Caenorhabditis elegans: one gene and its partners. The protein of the gene in region 4 interacts with the protein of the main gene of each other region in a pairwise test. Each region holds a gene or a part of one and is shown on either strand. Other genes may lie near its edges.

Region 1 (5,117 bases), on a different chromosome or scaffold from region 4:
AGCACACGAGCTCGACGTGAAGGTGCCCGAGGAGTACATGACGCATAATCATATTCGAGACAAACTTCCACCGCTGCGATTGAATAAAGTTTCAGAAGACGTGTTATTCTATCTTTTTTACAACTGTCCAAACGAGATTTATCAGGTGGCGGCGGCGTGCGAATTGTAAGTAAAGTTTATTCCAAAAACCTGCATCGACCATGACCGCGAGCGGAGCGTCGTGTTTAAAAAATTTATTTTAGTTTTTTTTTTTCCCCGAGAATTTGTGATTTTCATGAATTTACATATGAAACGCATAAAAAATTGGCCAAAATGATAGAAAATCACTCGTTCTGGGCGAAAAACTTTCAAGAAAATCCGCTTTTTCGTTAAGATCGCATAATTGTTCATCATTTTAGTTGATTCTTATTTCGCCTCATATATAAATTTATGAAAAATCATGTGAATCACGCGTTCTTAGCGAAAAGTTAAAATAAAAATTATTGAGCCGCTCCGTTTGCAGTTACGTCGCGGTCGAAGTTCACGAATCAAATTATTAATAATTTTAAAATTTTAGCTAGAAAATTGAAAAAAACATATATTTTATGTTAGCAATTGAGAAAATCTTTTTTATCACGAAACAATCATTATATTTTCAAATTTTTTGCAGGTACGCTCGCGAATGGCGATTTCACAAAAGCGAACAGGTGTGGTTGACGCGTTCTCAGTACGGTGGAGTGAAAGAACAGACGGGAAATTATGAAAAAGGGCATTACAACGTGTTCGATCAGATGCAATGGCGAAAAATTCCGAAAGAGTTAAAGTTGGAGTACAAAGAGCTCGAGGATCGGCCGAAAATGCCGCAATCAGTTTCCGGACAACCGACACCCTACAAATACTTTTTCCAAGGACCACAATTTCCGAGCGGTCCGGAGACGGGTCTGATGCTTCAGATGCATAACTTGACGCTCGGCACAGGTGGCGGCGGTGGCGGACAAATCACTCCACCGGCACCAGCGGGTCTTAACGGAGTTATGGGTGGTGGTGGTGTTGGAGCAGCTGGAATCGGAGGAATCAATGTGCAACCGGGAGCCGTTCCATCGGCGGCGCGAGCTACTCCAAACTAAACAAGAAGAAGATGATCTCTCGTGTGCAAATTTTCTATATCCCACTTTCGTCATCTTGTTCTCGAATTGCTCCCTTTCTCTCTCATTTTCCATCTCTTTTTCCCCTCTTTCTCTCCACATTTTCTCTCCCAATCTCCCATTTTTTTCCTTCGTTTTCCTTATTTTTCCTCTTTTCTCTACGTTTTCGTATAAACGATTATCGATATACACAAGTTGCTCTTTGAAAACCTGTGATTTTTCAAAGAAAGAGCTTCACAATGACTGGCGGCGGCGGTTTTCTCTGTATTTTCAGTGGCGCAACACCGAACTGATAAGACGGGGAAAAAGGCTGAAAACAAGATGTTTGTCGATGACAAACTCGCCTACAAGGGGGTTCTGATATCGTTCCGTGATAGCAACACAGTTTCATTCGATACTATTATTGTTTGTCATGTCGTCGTTGGCTGAAATCGCGTCGAGACCCGAAAACTTGGAGCTTCTTGCTGAAGGAAAAACCAAGCAAATCTTTGATATTAAAGGAGAAAAGGTTGGTTTTTTTCACTGAAAATTCAAAAAATTTGGGAAAACATTAATTTTCTACTAATTTTTTAATGCTTTATAGATTAAAATTTAGATATTTTAAAAGCGCCTTTTGAAATCGTGATGCAAACGCGCTCCGCGAGTAATCTGACAAGCTCCGCCCCAAAACGTTGGGTCTCGTTGGGAACGTGAATTTTTGACGATCTCACCCAATTTTTTTTGCATTTTTCAACATAAAAATCGTTAAAAACAACGAGAAATGATTGGAAAGTGCTGGAATCGGCAAAAAAGTAGGATTATACGGTTTTACCGCCAATACCTAACGAGACCCGGTTTTCAGTTATCCGTGGCGCGCTTTTGCAGCCCAAGTCACATTTTTATGCGTCTACATAATATTCAGAAAAGCGTGTCCTAGAAACACGAAAACTCGGCCAACCGAATTATCAGAAGAGATTTTTCAGAAGTATGCTCAAAATAATCTTTGAAAGAAATGTTCGGTTTTCACTGTCGGTGAGTGGCCGAGGTTTCACGTTTTCTAGGCCACGCCGCAAATAGCCAGCTTGTGGCCTAGGAAATGAGAAAACTCGGCCACTCTTTCAGCACATTTTTCAAATACACGTACGGAAAATTTCCTGTAAAAACGGTGTCTGAGCTTTCACGGAGCCTAGAAAAAACTCGGTCAATTTCGTAAATTTGAAATCTATTTGAATTTTTCCGTTTGGATTGCGATAATAATGTGCTTTTCAACAAAATTGAATCCAACTTTTTCAATTTCTGAACAAAATCTTTTCAGGATTATGTGCTCATTCGTTCCAAAGATAGCTTGACCGCATTCAACGCTGTCCGTAAAAATGAGCTTGAAGGAAAGTCTAGAATCGCAAGTAAAACCACATCAAACGTGTTTGAATATCTTCAACTTCTCGGTCTACCAACACACTTTGAAAAAAGCATCTCTGAAACTGAATTTGTCGCCCGTAAATGCACCATGATTCCGATTGAATGGGTGGCACGACGTGTTGCGACAGGATCCTTCTTGAAGAGAAATCCTGGAGTTAAAGAGGGTTTCAGATTTAATGATCTGAAATTGGAGACATTTTTCAAAGACGACGCTAATGATGATCCACAATGGACTGATGAACAAATTGTGTCGAATGGTTTGATGATTGATCATTTGAAAATTGGAAGAGAAGAGATTTCATTGATGAAGAAGATGACAAAGTTGGTGTTTAGAGCATTGGAGAAAGGATGGGCTCTTTCAAATAGTGCTCTGATTGATATGAAGGTGAGGGTGTTGCAAAGTTTTTATTATTCTCTTTTTTTTTATCGGTCTCAACTTTAAAAAGTAAACATAATAAAAAGTATGTAAGTTTAATGTTCGGTCTGCAATATATTCGTTTTGTAAATATTTACATTTTGAAAGGAAATCAGCACCATTTAAAACTGGGTGTTTTCTGTAACGTGTCGATTTACGCAGCTTGAGTACTTCACGAGGAGAAGTGTGTTTTTCTTTTCGCTGAATTTTACAATTGTCGGTTGTTGTAATTTTGAAATAATTTTGAAGAAAACCTGAAAATTCCAGATCGAATTCGGAGTCACAGTTGAAGGAGAAATTCTCCTGGCCGACGTGATTGACAATGACTCGTGGAGAGTTTGGCCTGAAAATGATAGACGTCTGCAGTTGGATAAGCAAGTTTACAGGGATATGAAGGAAGTGACAGAAGAGGGGTTGGCTCTCGTTTTGAAGAATTATACAAAGGTTAGTAGGCCGAAGCTTAGGCCTAAGCATATGCCTATGCCTGAGCCTAAACCAAAGACTAAGCCTAATCCTAAGTTTTAGCCTAAGCCCATGTCTAAGCATAAGCCTAAGCCTAAGCCTAAACCTAAATTCAATCATCCTATATATCAATTGTTAGATTTTTACGCGAATCAAACCTTTCGTGTAAGCACAATAACTTGCCTGCCTGCAAGGCGATCTGCACCTGATTTCTGCCAATATGCATACCTACAATTTTCGGTAGACACGTTGAGTAGGTAGGCAGGCACATAGACACGAAGGCGTATCTACCTACCAATAACATTTCCAGGTTATGGATATCACTGCCACCTTCTCAAAACACCAGCAAAAATGCCATGTTCTTGTGATCATGGGATCTGGTTCGGATGGCGTATTCGCACGGAAAATCTCTGATGAAGCCAAGAAATTTGGACTGGAAACTACGCTGAAAGTAAGCTCAGCTCATAAAACTACCTCGGACACTCTGGAAGTTATCGCTGATTTCGAAGAAAGTGGAGTTCCGACAGTTGTGATTGCAGTAGCTGGAAGATCCAATGGACTCGGTCCAGTTATTGCTGGAAACTCGTCTCTTCCGGTAGGACTTGAAAGATCAGATGATCTTTATTTCAAAGAATTCAGGTGATCAACTGCCCGCCACCAAGTGAATCAACGAGTCTTGACATTTGGTCATCACTCCGAATGCCGAATGGAATCGGGTGTACTACAGTGTTGGACCCATCGGAGGCCGCGCTTGCCGCCGCAAAAATCCTCGCGTCTCACAATCATATTGTGTTTGGAAAAGTGCTCACTGCACAGCTCAAGAATCAAATCAACATTTACGTAAGTGATAGAGATGTGAATTTCTAATTTTTGAACTTTCAGAACGCCAATCGCAAACTTGAATAGATGCAGGACTGAATTGAAATCAGATTTTTCAAAAACTTTCTTGTGTAAATTAACTAATTACTCAACGTTCACTTTTATTTCAGCATTCTTATATTAAAAACGAAATGAAATGTTTGAATCTTAAACTTTCAACTGCACATTCCACAGCACGTGCAGAAGAAATCCACGTGTGCCGAGACATCCACGAGAAGATCAGTCTCTTGAGTCAGCTGTCTCCGTTGCTGACGTTGACGATTATGGGTATCGTAGAGTTCTGGACAAGGCATTCCGGCTGACAAAACACCTACGAGAACTTGAACATTTCGAGTGTCCGATGTTCGGACAACTCCCGAGCCACTGTCACCCTGGAATCAGTGGAAACTATTAGGCATCTTGGGCAAGTAGGCATTGTTCTGCCTACTTCTGAAGAAACACTTTTAAACTTTAAAAACAAACATCACAAGACAATCCTCTATTCACTGCCGACGTACAATACACCCCGCCATATGGGAAATCGTCGGAGCACTCCGCAACAAACGAGTATAGCGATTTCAACTTTCCAGACTCCAAAACACTATCCGAAGCTGGAATTAAAAATTTCAAAAGATCACATAAAAATCGGAACTTACGATCTCTTCCATAACCAAAAAGCTTATATCCGGTTTCTCTGATCCTCGGGATCTTTGGAGCAGATGGAAGACAGGCTGGGAATATGTCTTTTGAGAATTCGATGGGTTCTTCCAATTCGAACACGGCGATGTCGTTGAATGATTCTCGATCAATGCAACCATCTCCGACATAGCCTTTTCGGATGTAGAGCTGTAAAGAAAATA
Region 2 (4,506 bases), 5.4 Mb from region 4:
GATATTGCACTGGTGGTCGTGCTTCGAAAAGCGCCAGAAGATTGGGAGGTAGAAATGCCGTCATGTCACCTGAAAATAATTTTTATTTATTATTTGAGTTTTGTAGGTACAAAGATTATCGAATAGAAGAGAGAAAATAGTATGGAATGGGAAGATGAAGAACAAAACAAAAGAAGAAAAAAAGTTGAAAAAATGTCTGAAAAAGAAAATAAAAAAGCGATCCTCGGTTTCAGATAGCTGTTCCACGTTCCAAATCGTCTTTGATATCTTCTGTGTACTTTCCATAGTACTTGTCCAGTTTCTTATTGAATTTCTTGTTTTTCTCATTGATGTAATCAATTGGCGCGTCAGGATCATAAAGTCTACGACGATGATATTGTTCTCGTCTTTTAACTTGGCCGTGAACATCTTTAGTGAGCTTATCCATTGCAGCAGTTGTCGGATAGTGATTTCCTGAAAACTCTTTGGTTTTTCTTTGAAATTATGAGTTTTGCTCCTTACCATGAATAAGTGTGTCAGCAGTTGGGTAAAACTGTTCCCCTCCAACGCATTCTCTCATCTTTTTGTAAGAATCAAGATCTGGATCAAGAGCAGCAGTCAGGCGAGTATGTTGACGAAGAGTCATATCTTCGTAAGAAGTAAATCCTTGATCTGGGTTCTTCTTTCTCTTTCTTTTTTGCTCAAGCTTCTCAGTAACATCTGCAGACATCTCTAAACTGCGAACACGTTCATAGTCCAATCCCTTGTCTTCTGCAGCTTTTCGATCTTGTAGCTCTTTAACCTGCCATTGATCTCTTTCCTTTTTTGCTTCGTGGTTTTTTGGAAGTTTGCTGCGACGATCTTCTTCAACGACCTACAATTTTAAATTATAATTGAAAATGTAAACGTTAAAACACTAACCTGTTCGTGATTCTCTTTTCTCGCTCTTTGGCGGAGTTTGTGAAGATCACGGAACCTCTGATTGAAATCCTTCATTTTTGATCCACTGGACGACGGCCCACTGCTGCTCGATTGTGATTCGGAAGACATCTAGGAAAAAGTGTTGAAGAGAAATCCAGAAAGTTGAGAAGAAAAGCTACATTGAAACGGAATACAGAATATTTTGAACATCAGAAAAAGAAGAACCGATATGATTTGAATTCATTTACAATCTATATTTTTTAAACCGATAGTTACATGTTCAAAACATATTAATACTATCCAGCTTTGCGAAACAAAGAAGGCTTTCTTAGAAATAAGCATGGTACTATCGATAAGGAGTTCAAAAATGGAAATAAAAACTTTATTTTCTAGTTGAAAATGCTGAGAATCGAGTCAAAATTGCGAAAATTAATCTGGGCGAGTAGTTCAACACAGCGCACTTGCACAATTTTCTTTTCTCTCCGCTGCGTAGCGGTCGCGTCGCGGTCGTCTAGTCTTGCGCTCGTCACACCGAACGCGTCAATATGTGACGTTTCGGGCCTTTTCTGCTCACTCTGGCGGTAATTTAAACATATTAAAAATATATTTTAATTCAAAAATATTTATAATAGACCATTTAAAAGTACTCAACATTATTCCAATTGTTCGTTCTTGTTGTTTTGGGCACTTTGAGTTTTTTCTTAAAATTTTAATTTAAATTTCAGCTGATGATGTTAATGAACAGTACTGAGATAGTTGACGACAACATGGTAGTCGAAGGATATGAGGAAATTGCAGTGGATGACGATATGAATGATATGAGAGTGAGTGTGCTTGAATCATTAATTTTCTTTATTCAAATTTAAGGAAATGGTTGCAAATGATGAAGATGACAGTATTCACTATGAAGCCCATGATGGAAGCGAATATGGTGGAATGCCAATTGACCAATATCAAGATATTGTTATGTTCAAAACGTAAAAAAAATTTTTCCTGAGTAATATAAATTTAAAGCATTATTCCAGAACGGACCAAGTTCCTGCAAGTGTCTCCTCTCGTCTTGATCGTAGTGCGCCGAGTCATTGGAGAGCTCGTTGTAAATGTTTTTCAATGGCGGACGATAGGGAAACTCTTTTGTATTACAATCCCGAGAAGTCTGCGAATACTATTCCAAAAGTAGTAGTGAAGAAAGGAGAAGTTCAAAAAGTCCTTGAGAGAATTCACGAACTTATTGGTCATCTTGGGCAGAAAAGAACGTAAGTAAAACTACTATAATAATAGCTGACAATTGTTACTTATAGGCAGATGGTCGTGCTTCGGAAACTCTACTGGCGGTCGGTTCGACAAGATGTTAAAACATTTATTGCCTCTTGTGATTTTTGTACAGCAAAGAAAATACAAGGCAGAAAAATAACAAAAGCACCTGTGGATATTACCTCTGAGCATTTTGATATTTCCGTGCTTGTTAGAGATTCTTCCAGCGGAAATGATCGATTTGAGTTTCAATTGGTGGGATACAATGAGGATGAAGTTCGCGAAGCATCATTTACAAGGATGACATCATATACATTCAAAGAAACTGAGCATGCATTCAGAAGCAGATACAGTAACCATCAGCAGACTGGGGTACGTTAAGAATCTGAGATTCTCTACAACTCTAAGCAAAAATCGTTTTAAATTTACTTTAATTATTGCCAAATTCACAATATTTGCATTTTCAAATTTTTAAAAAATATTTTGCAGCCGCCAACGTTCCGTCGACAACCATATGTGAAGAAACACAAAAATCAATCAGTTGGATATCTTCTTCCATTTCACCAAAGATCTCGTGCCACAGAACCCGAGTTTATCGAAGTTTTTGGGCGCGACATGTTCACTCATCATCCTGATATGATGTATGAAACAGTTCCAGAAATGGACGATGGAATGATGAGATCAAGAGAAGAAGTTAAAAGAAAAGATGAAGAACTGCCCAATGCACATCCAGTAACTGTTGGCGGAGCAGTACTGAACTCGAATAATTTCAAAACGGAAGATGAGGTAAGAAATGAATGAGTCAAGTGTTCTTATTGAATTCCGATCAAAACAAATTATTTTCAGGGAAATCTTGCTGTCTCTTCTCGTTCTCAAGAATCGACGTCTTCAGCATCACCACAAAAAATGAACCATGAACAGCAAAGATATAGTCAAAAACGTCATTTGGAGATGAGAACTGGAAGAACGACGAGAGATATGAGAGATTATGAGTCATCTGGACGACAATTATCACCAACTCCAACGACTACAGCTGGACTTTTGAAAAAGAGAAGGCGAGAGTTGCCAAGTATTCGAGGAATGGCAAATCGTTTCAGTCTGGCAATCGGCGACTCGGATAGAATAGGTAGGTTTTTAAATTTCAGTCTTATTTTGAATGTTGGAAATTTTTAGATAACACCGAAGTAAATCGCTCAAATCCACATCTGATCGAGTACCCTGATCCTTCGTCTATTCTTCGTGGTGATAATGCAGGATTGCCTCCCGTTATTATGGCGCCATCCACCAATGATGAAGTATGCAAACTGCAGATCGAGGTATTTCGCATGAAAACCAAAATTGAAATTATAATAAGACACGTTTCAGGCACTCCAACGTCATATTCATCTACAAAAAATGCAAGAAAAACTACTCCATGAACAGTATGAAGCTTCCATGCGAATTCCAATCACCCGATACATCGAACAAGAAGAGGAAGTTCAGGAAGAACAACTCGAAGTTGAGCATCATCATGTCATGGAAAATCATCACCAAGTGTACGAGGAAGTAGAGGAAGAAGTGGTTCCGCAAAATCCCCGTCGGCACATTCGTCACCAGTAGAAGCTTACATGTTTCTTTATTGTTTGACAATATCTTAATAACTAAACTCACATACGATCTTTTTCCTTAATTATATCTGAAATTTTGTGACAGTTTTGTAATGAATCCTAAAAAGATTAAAACATGAAGTCATCCTTATCACAGAAGTTCAACTCAAAAAAGGATGTTATCTTTCTAAAAGTTTTAAAGGAATTTATTTCATTCATTACTGCTGTGAACAGGATCGTCTCGTTGATATTAGCATTACGTGAACTTTTCCTCAACACATCAATATGAAATCGATGCGTAAAAAATTGAACTTAATGTTTTTTTGAATTATTCCTAACTCGTATCGAGCTAGTCTACACTATTCTCTAACAAAAACTTCTGTTTGGACTTGGCTTTGCTTTATTTTCGTTAAGGATACTCAATTTCGACAACACGAGAGATACAACGGTACTAGTTTGAAAACTTGAAGATTTGTTTCACTTACTGGCAAGGCAAGCTATTATGTATACAAAAGGGTTAGTCTGATTGTTTAAAAAGGTTTTTCTATCAAAGAAAGTGAAAAGAAAAGATTTGAAACAAAAATTCGATAAAACAGATCGAATTATATTGGAGTTACGGTTCACAAACCGTACCCCTGTGCATTTTATCGTGAACGTGTTTACGGACCACTTTTGCCGCCAATAATTTTCAGACACTTTTTTTGCAAAAACAATTCATTTTCGTCTTAATTTGACGGTTTTTCTTTATTTTCGGCTTCCGTTTTTG
Region 3 (3,844 bases), on a different chromosome or scaffold from region 4:
AGCAACAACTGGAGATTGGCATGCTGATTGGCATTGCTGACATTGTGGAGCAGCTGGTTGCTGACATTGTGGAATACATTGTTGTTGGCACTGTTGAGTCTGTTGGCACGAAGTTTGACATTGTTGGCAAGCTGGTGCAGATGGAAGTGTGCATTGTGGAGCACACTGTTGCTGGCAAACTGGAGCATACTGCTGGCAAGTATTCTGGCACTGCTGGCACTGTGGAGCTGATGGCTGTTGGCATTGAGGAGCACACTGTTGTACGCATTGTGGAGCTGCTTGCTGACAGGTTGTCTGGCATGGTTGAGTACATTCCTGATAGCACTGTTGAACTGGAACTTGTTGTAGAAGACATTGTTGTTGACACTGTTGTTGGCATTGTGGAGCACATTGAGCAGAGATTCCCAAGTTGACATTGATGACTTGTGGAGCAACAGTTGGAGCACATTGTTGAACACATTGCTGCTGACATTGTGGTTGACATTGTTGAATTGGTTGAGCTTGAACACATTGTTGAGTGCACTTTTGTTGGCATTGTGGAACACACTGGACTGTGACTGGAGCTGGAGCAACACAGGATTGTTCACAGGCTGGCATGCAAGATGGTTGACATTGGACTGGAGCTGGAGCAGCTATTTGAGTATAACAGGAAGACGTCTGACAAGTCTGCTGGCATGAAGATTGACACTCATTCATAGATGGAGCAAATTGACATTGGTTCTGGCAAGACTGCTGACAAGCTGGAGCACATTGAGAAGTTTGCACTTGGTAAGTTACTTGCTGAACTGGTTGGGCACATGAGCAGGATGTCTGGACTGGAGCAGTGTTCTGACACGAACAACTGTACTGTTGTGGTTGAGTTGCTTGTTGGCATGAACAACTTGGTTGAACTTGTGAAGCACAACCACATGATTGACGTTTATCACGAATTGATGTTGCCTGGAAAAAACTTCTGTGAACTTGGAAAACAAGCATTTTGTTGCTAACATCGATTACGTCCAACAAATATTTGTAAGATGTGGGCACTTAGAAAACTAGACCGTATTATCAAGAACATTTTGAAAAAACTGTACATGATGAATTTTTCATCAAGTGATGGAAAATTGTTGTAGTTAATATAATATTTTTAATTATTAATAAACCGAAATACTAACTGAAAAAGTTTAGAAATGTCGTGCCATTCTAAAAGTGAAAGTACAATGAAACTTTATCAAACCTCGATAAGCAGACAGCTGGAAGCAAAGAGAGCTACAAATACGATGAAACGCATGATAATGGTTGAAGAAGCAGGGCTTGATGATTTCCACAGATATCAAGGCTTTATATACCCCCTCAAACACTGCTTGCGTACGATTATAGCAATGTAAAAAAATAGTGCCGGAAAAAATAGTCCAAGAGTTCAAGTCTTGTAATTTCGAATGGCTATTGTGAGAGCAAACAAAAAGGTGTTTCTAATAATGAGTGGCGTCAAAAGGCAATAAACAATTTAAAATCGTTTTGTCGAAATCCGAACTCTAAAGTTCAACAGGTAACCCTTTCATTACTTTTCTGAAAATGTAAACGAAATTTTTTGGTACACATAGTTAAGCGGAAACTCGGCGCAATCCAAAAAAAAAACACTGTATCAGTGCAAACGCGCACCCAACCTCTTTTTGATCTTTGCAACTTGCCGTGCCCTCAAGAAATAGTGTGTGTAAGACTGGGAGGCGACGAGCGTGTTTTTTGGTTCATTTGCCATGTTATCATTGTTATGTTTGCGCTGAGCATGAAGCCGGTTGATGGATGGAGTTTGATAAGTGGGACGGAACTGTTTGATGGCTAATGAAACAGGGTTGTAGGACGTTGGTATAAAAGTCGGAAAAATTAAAACAAGGGCATCAATTGTCTCTTAGCAGCTCTTCAATCATATTGACAATGCGTTTTATTACAATTGCAGCAGTTCTTCTTGTTTCTAGCCTTCTTATTGTTGAGGTACGATTTGTATTACTGTTGCTTCACTTACTTTCTGAATTATCTGTAGAATTAGTTAACAATTTATATGTACACCTTGAAACATTATATTATTTCTAGGCATCTTCAATTCGTGATAAACGTCAATCATGTGGTTGTGCTTCACAAGTTCAACCAAGTTGTTCATGCCAACAAGCAACTCAACCACAACAGTACAGTTGTTCGTGTCAGAACACTGCTCCAGTCCAGACATCCTGCTCATGTGCCCAACCAGTTCAGCAAGTAACTTACCAAGTGCAAACTTCTCAATGTGCTCCAGCTTGTCAGCAGTCTTGCCAGAACCAATGTCAATTTGCTCCATCTATGAATGAGTGTCAATCTTCATGCCAGCAGACTTGTCAGACGTCTTCCTGTTATACTCAAATAGCTGCTCCAGCTCCAGTCCAATGTCAACCATCTTGCATGCCAGCCTGTGAACAATCCTGTGTTGCTCCAGCTCCAGTCACAGTCCAGTGTGTTCCACAATGCCAACAAAAGTGCACTCAACAATGTGTTCAAGCTCAACCAATTCAACAATGTCAACCACAATGTCAGCAGCAATGTGTTCAACAATGTGCTCCAACTGTTGCTCCACAAGTCATCAATGTCAACTTGGGAATCTCTGCTCAATGTGCTCCACAATGCCAACAACAGTGTCAACAACAATGTCTTCTACAACAAGTTCCAGTTCAACAGTGCTATCAGGAATGTACTCAACCATGCCAGACAACCTGTCAGCAAGCAGCTCCACAATGCGTACAACAGTGTGCTCCTCAATGCCAACAGCCATCAGCTCCACAGTGCCAGCAGTGCCAGAATACTTGCCAGCAGTATGCTCCAGTTTGCCAGCAACAGTGTGCTCCACAATGCACACTTCCATCTGCACCAGCTTGCCAACAATGTCAAACTTCGTGCCAACAGACTCAACAGTGCCAACAACAATGTATTCCACAATGTCAGCAACCAGCTGCTCCACAATGTCAGCAATGCCAATCAGCATGCCAATCTCCAGTTGTTGCTCCACAAATTGTGACTGTCATCCTAGAACCTTCAGTTTCTCAATCTGCTCAATGTGTTCCACAATGCCAACAATCATGCCAACAACAATGCATTCAACAACAACAACCAATGCAGCAATGTGCTCCAGCATGCACCCAATCATGCTATCAATCGTGCTCTACTGCTCAACTAGTCCAGATGCCATGCCTCACTCAATCAGTCAACTCCTGCTCTTGCCAGCAAAACTATTCTCCGTGTGGAAATGGACAATGTTGCAAGAGAATGTAGTCATCCAATGTATAATTGTGACACCAGTTATGTGTATATACAAGACAATACTTCTTTATACTTTTTTAATAAATAATATTGATAACTTTAAGTTTTTACTCAAATTTAGAAAAAAAAAAAAAACTTTGACCACTGAGCGGATCGAACGCCCAACCTTTCGATCTGGAGTCGAACGCGCTACCATTGCGCCAAGCAGTCACATTTTCCTTTGTCATCTAGTGCAATGACACGAAAGGGGTAGAGAGAAAGGAGAGAATAAGGAGGGGACATATGGCGGTAGAAAAACCGGTGACGGACTACTCTCTTCATCGTTTATCACATATTCTGAGTGTTTGTTTTTTCAAATTTAATGGAGGAAATAGATAGAATAGTGAGGAAATGAGAATGTTATTGATTTTCATGGCGGCATTGGTGTGAAACTTGTTGCTCCTACTGACGCGATTGTGCCAACTCTTGACTGTTTAATCTCTTTGAAACTTCTGAACAGAATCATTCGAATTCCTGGAAGTTTGTGAGGTTTTTCTTGCACGGGTTGTTGCAAGCACCCGACATCTACCGGGTTCTCGAT
Region 4 (4,895 bases):
ATTGGCAATTTATTAATTCTGAGCTTCTGAGCGTAAATTTTTTTTTATTTTGGAGCAATTCTGAGATGTCTTAGTGCATTTTTCGGGCATACATAAAAAAAAATTTATCTTAATAATAAAAACCTTAAATTTAGGCTTCACCGTCTGGAAATTCAATTTTTTCAGCTGAAAAACTTTCAAAAAAAAAAAAATTAAATTTTCACATTTATTTTCTCTGGAATTTTGGAGCAATTTCAAAGCTGTCTTAGTGCATTTTTAGTACACAAATATTTTTTCATTTTTCTTAAATTTTAATAATCTAAGCTTAAATAAAGGCTTCACCGTCTGAAAATGCAACTTTTTTCAGATGAAATATTAAAAAAAAAAACCTCTTTTATTAATTTTGTGCTCCAAACTTTCCCACGGTACGCAAATCATGTAATATGTACTTTTAAACATTATTTTTCCAATCAAAAATATCCAACAGCTTTTCCTTACAATTTGAAAATTTTTATTAAAATTTCAAAAAAATTTTTTTTTTTTTTTAATTTCGAATTTTTTTAAACTTGTTGTAACTTTTTTCCCTGTCGGCGCCAATTAACAAAATACGTAGAATTTTGCGCTTATTGTTTTGTTAGTTAACAAATTTTTGACAACTTTCTTATCAGCTGAGATTTAGGTGTTTCAGTTCGCAATCTGCGTCTCTCCTTGCTCTCCTCTATTTTAAAACCCCCATAACTTTGTTCTTGTGAGAGTTATCAAAAAATTGTCAACTAACAAAATATAGAGCACAAAAATATGCACATTTTGTATGTTGACAATTTTTTGATACCTTTTTTAGTTTTCGAGATATCTTAGTTTTAGTTTAGCTGTACCTTTTTCTGGCAAAAAACTTCCAAATTTCGGCAATTTTTCGGCAAATTTCCCGGCAAATTTCGCCAAGTACATCGGGCTCTCAGACAAGTGGTCTGTGAGTGGAAGTCGATAAAAGTAGTTTACGTGCTCTCCGTCCCCCCGCTTCTTCTCCGTCTCTGCTTCTATTTCTCCATTGACTAGTCCCACTACTTTTTACGGGGCGGAGGGCTCTCTTGCACTCCAGCTTCTTCTCTTTTTGTGCTCTTTTTTGCCCGTATGTGGGTGCTCATTTATTTTTCTTTGGTTTTAAAATAAATTCGGTTTATTAGGCTACTCGTAAAAATGAAGAAAAAACTTCAAATTCAAACGACATTAAAAAAAAATTTAATAAAAATTTTTTGAATTGCTCAAAAGCCCCACCTATATATATATATAGCTCCGCCTACTTCTCGCACAGACCCCGCCCACTTTTTGACTCCGCCCCCTTATTGGCAAAAGTTCTTGAAAAAAATAAAAATAAAAATTCAAATTGAAACAATTTTTTTTTAATGAAGTAGTTTTTTTCTAAATTGATGAAAATTTCTAAACAGTTTACAAGCACCGCCCACTTTTTGACTCCGCCCCTTTGTTGGAAAAATTCTTGTAAAAAAAAATAAAAAATAAAAGCTTCTCTTTCAAACGATTTTTAGTTGGTTTTTGTATGAAAAGTTTTTTTCCTAAAATAGAAATGTCTGAATAATTTGCAAGCTCCGCCCTTTTCTTACCCAGACTCCGCCCCTTTATTGACTAATTTTTTTTTGTCCATTTACCTGAAGTTCAAAAAAAAAATTTACAGTTTCATAGAGTAATAATTTTTCAAAAATCTCTTTTTCCAATGTTTAATGTGTCATTATAAACCCGCCCAGTTTTAAGCTCCGCCCATTTAGGCCCCGCCCATTTATGACCCAAATATTTTTTTCTCTATTCACCCGTGGATTTCCCTCCAACAAGTTACCCCAAAAATAAAAATAAAAATTCCTGCAGGCGCCCACCGGGATCTAACATCGTGGCCTCTTCCAACAACAACCATCAATCGTCTACACCATCATTCGGCGGTAGGTTGGACCGTTTTTCTTGTTGTCGACAATTATGCTGTGTCAGGACTAGAAAATCTGAATTCAGCACGCTGAGAGCTTCAAAATAAGCCCCATATTGCCTAGGTTCTAATAAATATGAAAAAATTTGGTCTCGCCACGAAAACTTGTAGGGTTTGGTAGTCTTGGTGAATTTGGGTTAGTCTTATTTTTCCTAGTTTTTTTTGATAATTTTGACACAATCTGAGCTAAAAATTGAGAAAAAATCTTAAAAAATAATAAAAATATGGATTTTCGAAGATTTTCGAAGATTTTCGAAAATCGATAACTTTGCGAATTTTAATTTTTTCTACCTGAATTTAGTTTCGAAAATTTTGTAATTCTTTGAAAAGCTTTAGAAAAATATATTTAACATTCTACACAGTACCCCGGGACTTTTCGTGGCGGGACCCAAATTTTTAAAATAGTCGGGGCCTAGCCAAGATGGGTGTTAAATGAAAGGTCTCGAAGGGCTAAATTCAAATTTTTAGGTTACAAAGCTTTAAATTGAGTTTTTAATTTTTTTTGAAATTAAAAAAAAAAAAAATCCAAAAAAAAAATCCAAAAAAAAATCCAAAAAAAAAATTTCAAAAATTTAAATTATTAATTTCAGGTTCGTGGGGTCCCTACAACAAGGCGGACCACCTAGTCACCAACTGAATGCTGGGCGGTCTGTCGGGACCCGGTCCGCCGCCCCCACCACCCCCCGCATCCTCCTATGGCATGGTGCCAGGCCCGTCGACCTCGTTCACCAACCATCTGGGTCCCACGACGTCATCCGCGTCTACAGTACCACCGACGAGTGACGCGTTGCTCCTGCAACTCCGTTCGAGACCCAATTCTCGCGTTTTTCGCGCCCTTTTTCAATATCTACCGTTAAGGGATTCGCCGAACGAGAATCCACAGCTCGAGCTGAGCCTTCAGCCGGGAGATGTGGTTCTGGTGAAAGGGGAAATGGATTCGGATGGATTTTATTGTGGGGAAACGCTGGATGGACGTCAGGGACTGGTACCATCAAATTATGTAGAGAGGTGAGCATTTTGAAGCTTAAAAATTGAGCTTTTTATACTTTTTTGGGCGAAATCTCACTTTTTCCCGTGAAAAAAGATTTAAAATTCGGAGTCTGAGATTGAAAATACAAAATTCGAATTCTCTGTGTTCAGAGCTTTCAAATGACCCCCATATTGGCTATATTCCGCCAACTTTGAAATTTCCGGGTCCCACCACGGAGGGGTACTGTAGTTTTCGTGGCGGGATCCGAAAATTTTCAAAAATGACGGAACCTAGCCGATATGGGGGTCATTTTAAAGGTCTCAACGAGACGAGTTCATTGGAGCAGGTTTTATGTGAAAATTCGATCATTTTTGAGGAAAAAAAATTTTTTTTGTTCAAAAAAGTTTTTTTTTTTTAATTTTTGTTTTAACCATGTTTTCTGTAAATAATCAGAATGAGCATAATCTCAGCTTCAAAATAGTAATCCGCCATACTTTGAAAATTCGGGTCTCACCACGAAAACTCCACCGGCTACTGTAGTTTAGACGGAAAGTTTGCAGTTTTATATTTCTAATAAATTTTTGAAAACTTTTCATATACCCTGTAAAAAATTTGTGCTGAGTAGCATAAAAATTGACAAAGTTACGGATTTTCGAAAAGATTCAAAAAAATCAAAATTTTTAATTTTGTAAAATATTTAAAAATTCTGTAACACGAAAAAAAGTTTGATTTTTTCTATTTTACCATTATTTTCGAATTTTTCACGCTATTCGCTTTAATTTGACAGCCAACATTCCCAGGCTCCGCCAATTTTGAAAATTTTCGTGGTGGGACTCAACAATTCAAAAAATTTCAATTTTACCAAGAACCTAGGCATGATGGGGGTCAAATGAAAGGTCTCAAAAAACTAAATTTGAATTTTGTATTAGTTTAACTTTTTTGTCAGCATCCTCAGGGTTACGGTAGATTTTGAACTTTCCATTGGAAAATTTTTTCGGAAAAGTTTCGAAAATCCATAACTTTTCTCATTTTTGAGATTTTAACTTGAATTAAAATGTATAACAATTGTGAGTATTTGAAAAATATGGCAAAAATAATATAATTCTGAAAAACTCGAAAACTACAGTTCCCTGGGGCTTTTCGTGGCGGGACCCAAATTTTAAAATTAAAAGGATATAGGCATGTGTTGGGGTCATTTTGAAGCTCCCAACGCGGTGAATTTCTAATAAAACGAAAAAAATTTATATTTTGAATAAGGAAAATGAAAATAATTTTAAGAATAATTTTCAAAAAAAAAAAAAATTTAAAAAACTTTTTTTTCTAAATTTTTTTATTTCTCCAAAATTTAGAAAATAAAACCAAATCTTTTCAGAGTTCCGGATTCAGTGCTCCTGGCAAATGCACGGGCTCCATCACCATCATTCCCGCTTCGAATACCCCAACATTTCTCGACAATCACACACGACTTCTCCTCTCCGGATCACTCAACACTACCCGATTCTGTAAGTTTTTGAGGAATTTTTAAAGAAAATTTGGCTAAAAATTCTTTCAAATTCAGTTTTGAAAAGCAATTTTGAAATAAAAAAAATTTAAAAAATTTTCTGGAATTTTTTTTTTTTTGAAATTTTTTTAAATTAATTTTTTCAAAAATATATAATTTTCAAATTTTTCAGGTTTGCCCTTACCCACCAGCTGACGTCACAAAAGTTACTGTACAAGAGATCAAGAACAACGAAACGCCTAGGAGTGAGTTGAAAATTTTAAAACATTCTCGAAAAAAAATTTTTTTTTTTCGAAATTTTCAAATATCGAGCCGCTACTCAGCCAATTTTCGAGATAAGCTCTTGAAAACTAATAATTCAATTTTTTCTTGCCAGTAGCTTCAATTTAACACCCATATCGGCTAGGCTCCGATGAAAAGCCCAGTTTTCGAAATTTTTTCCGGGTCGCGCCACG

Evidence for each region.
Region 1: the proteins of rimb-1 (region 4) and paic-1 interact in a two-hybrid assay, tested with the Caenorhabditis elegans proteins (one large-scale study listed by BioGRID).
Region 2: the proteins of rimb-1 (region 4) and K04G7.1 interact in a two-hybrid assay, tested with the Caenorhabditis elegans proteins (one large-scale study listed by BioGRID).
Region 3: the proteins of rimb-1 (region 4) and pqn-90 interact in a two-hybrid assay, tested with the Caenorhabditis elegans proteins (one large-scale study listed by BioGRID).

The regions. Positions count from the first base shown.
Region 1 is NC_003280.10:4,368,935-4,374,051, reverse strand, and holds paic-1 (Phosphoribosylaminoimidazole-succinocarboxamide synthase), read left to right. Parts: upstream 1-1,526; 5' UTR 1,527-1,536; coding exon 1,537-1,632; intron 1,633-2,144; exon of another isoform or gene 2,145-2,214; intron 2,215-2,418; coding exon 2,419-2,907; intron 2,908-3,204; coding exon 3,205-3,381; intron 3,382-3,709; coding exon 3,710-3,994; intron 3,995-4,038; coding exon 4,039-4,239; intron 4,240-4,281; coding exon 4,282-4,305; 3' UTR 4,306-4,427; downstream 4,428-5,117. Other genes in the region: ntl-2.1 (NOT2/NOT3/NOT5 C-terminal domain-containing protein), read left to right, coding at 1-165, 650-1,106; try-9 (Peptidase S1 domain-containing protein), read right to left, coding at 4,434-4,649, 4,741-4,868, 4,914-5,103.
Region 2 is NC_003281.10:7,161,087-7,165,592, forward strand, and holds K04G7.1 (Integrase zinc-binding domain-containing protein), read left to right. Parts: upstream 1-1,625; 5' UTR 1,626-1,667; coding exon 1,668-1,724; intron 1,725-1,767; coding exon 1,768-1,877; intron 1,878-1,925; coding exon 1,926-2,156; intron 2,157-2,201; coding exon 2,202-2,526; intron 2,527-2,643; coding exon 2,644-2,940; intron 2,941-3,000; coding exon 3,001-3,280; intron 3,281-3,327; coding exon 3,328-3,470; intron 3,471-3,519; coding exon 3,520-3,753; 3' UTR 3,754-3,874; downstream 3,875-4,506. Other genes in the region: rnp-7 (U1 small nuclear ribonucleoprotein 70 kDa), read right to left, coding at 1-64; Pre-mRNA-splicing factor syf-2, read right to left, coding at 230-453, 502-853, 901-1,029.
Region 3 is NC_003282.8:15,289,333-15,293,176, reverse strand, and holds pqn-90 (Prion-like-(Q/N-rich)-domain-bearing protein), read left to right. Parts: upstream 1-1,914; coding exon 1,915-1,971; intron 1,972-1,988; exon of another isoform or gene 1,989-2,010; intron 2,011-2,040; exon of another isoform or gene 2,041-2,070; coding exon 2,071-3,276; downstream 3,277-3,844. Other genes in the region: pqn-91 (Prion-like-(Q/N-rich)-domain-bearing protein), read right to left, coding at 1-939, 1,217-1,270.
Region 4 is NC_003281.10:1,786,478-1,791,372, forward strand, and holds the start of rimb-1 (Variant SH3 domain protein), read left to right. Parts: upstream 1-1,855; 5' UTR 1,856-1,928; intron 1,929-2,559; 5' UTR 2,560-2,606; coding exon 2,607-2,977; intron 2,978-4,311; coding exon 4,312-4,441; intron 4,442-4,612; coding exon 4,613-4,685; intron 4,686-4,895.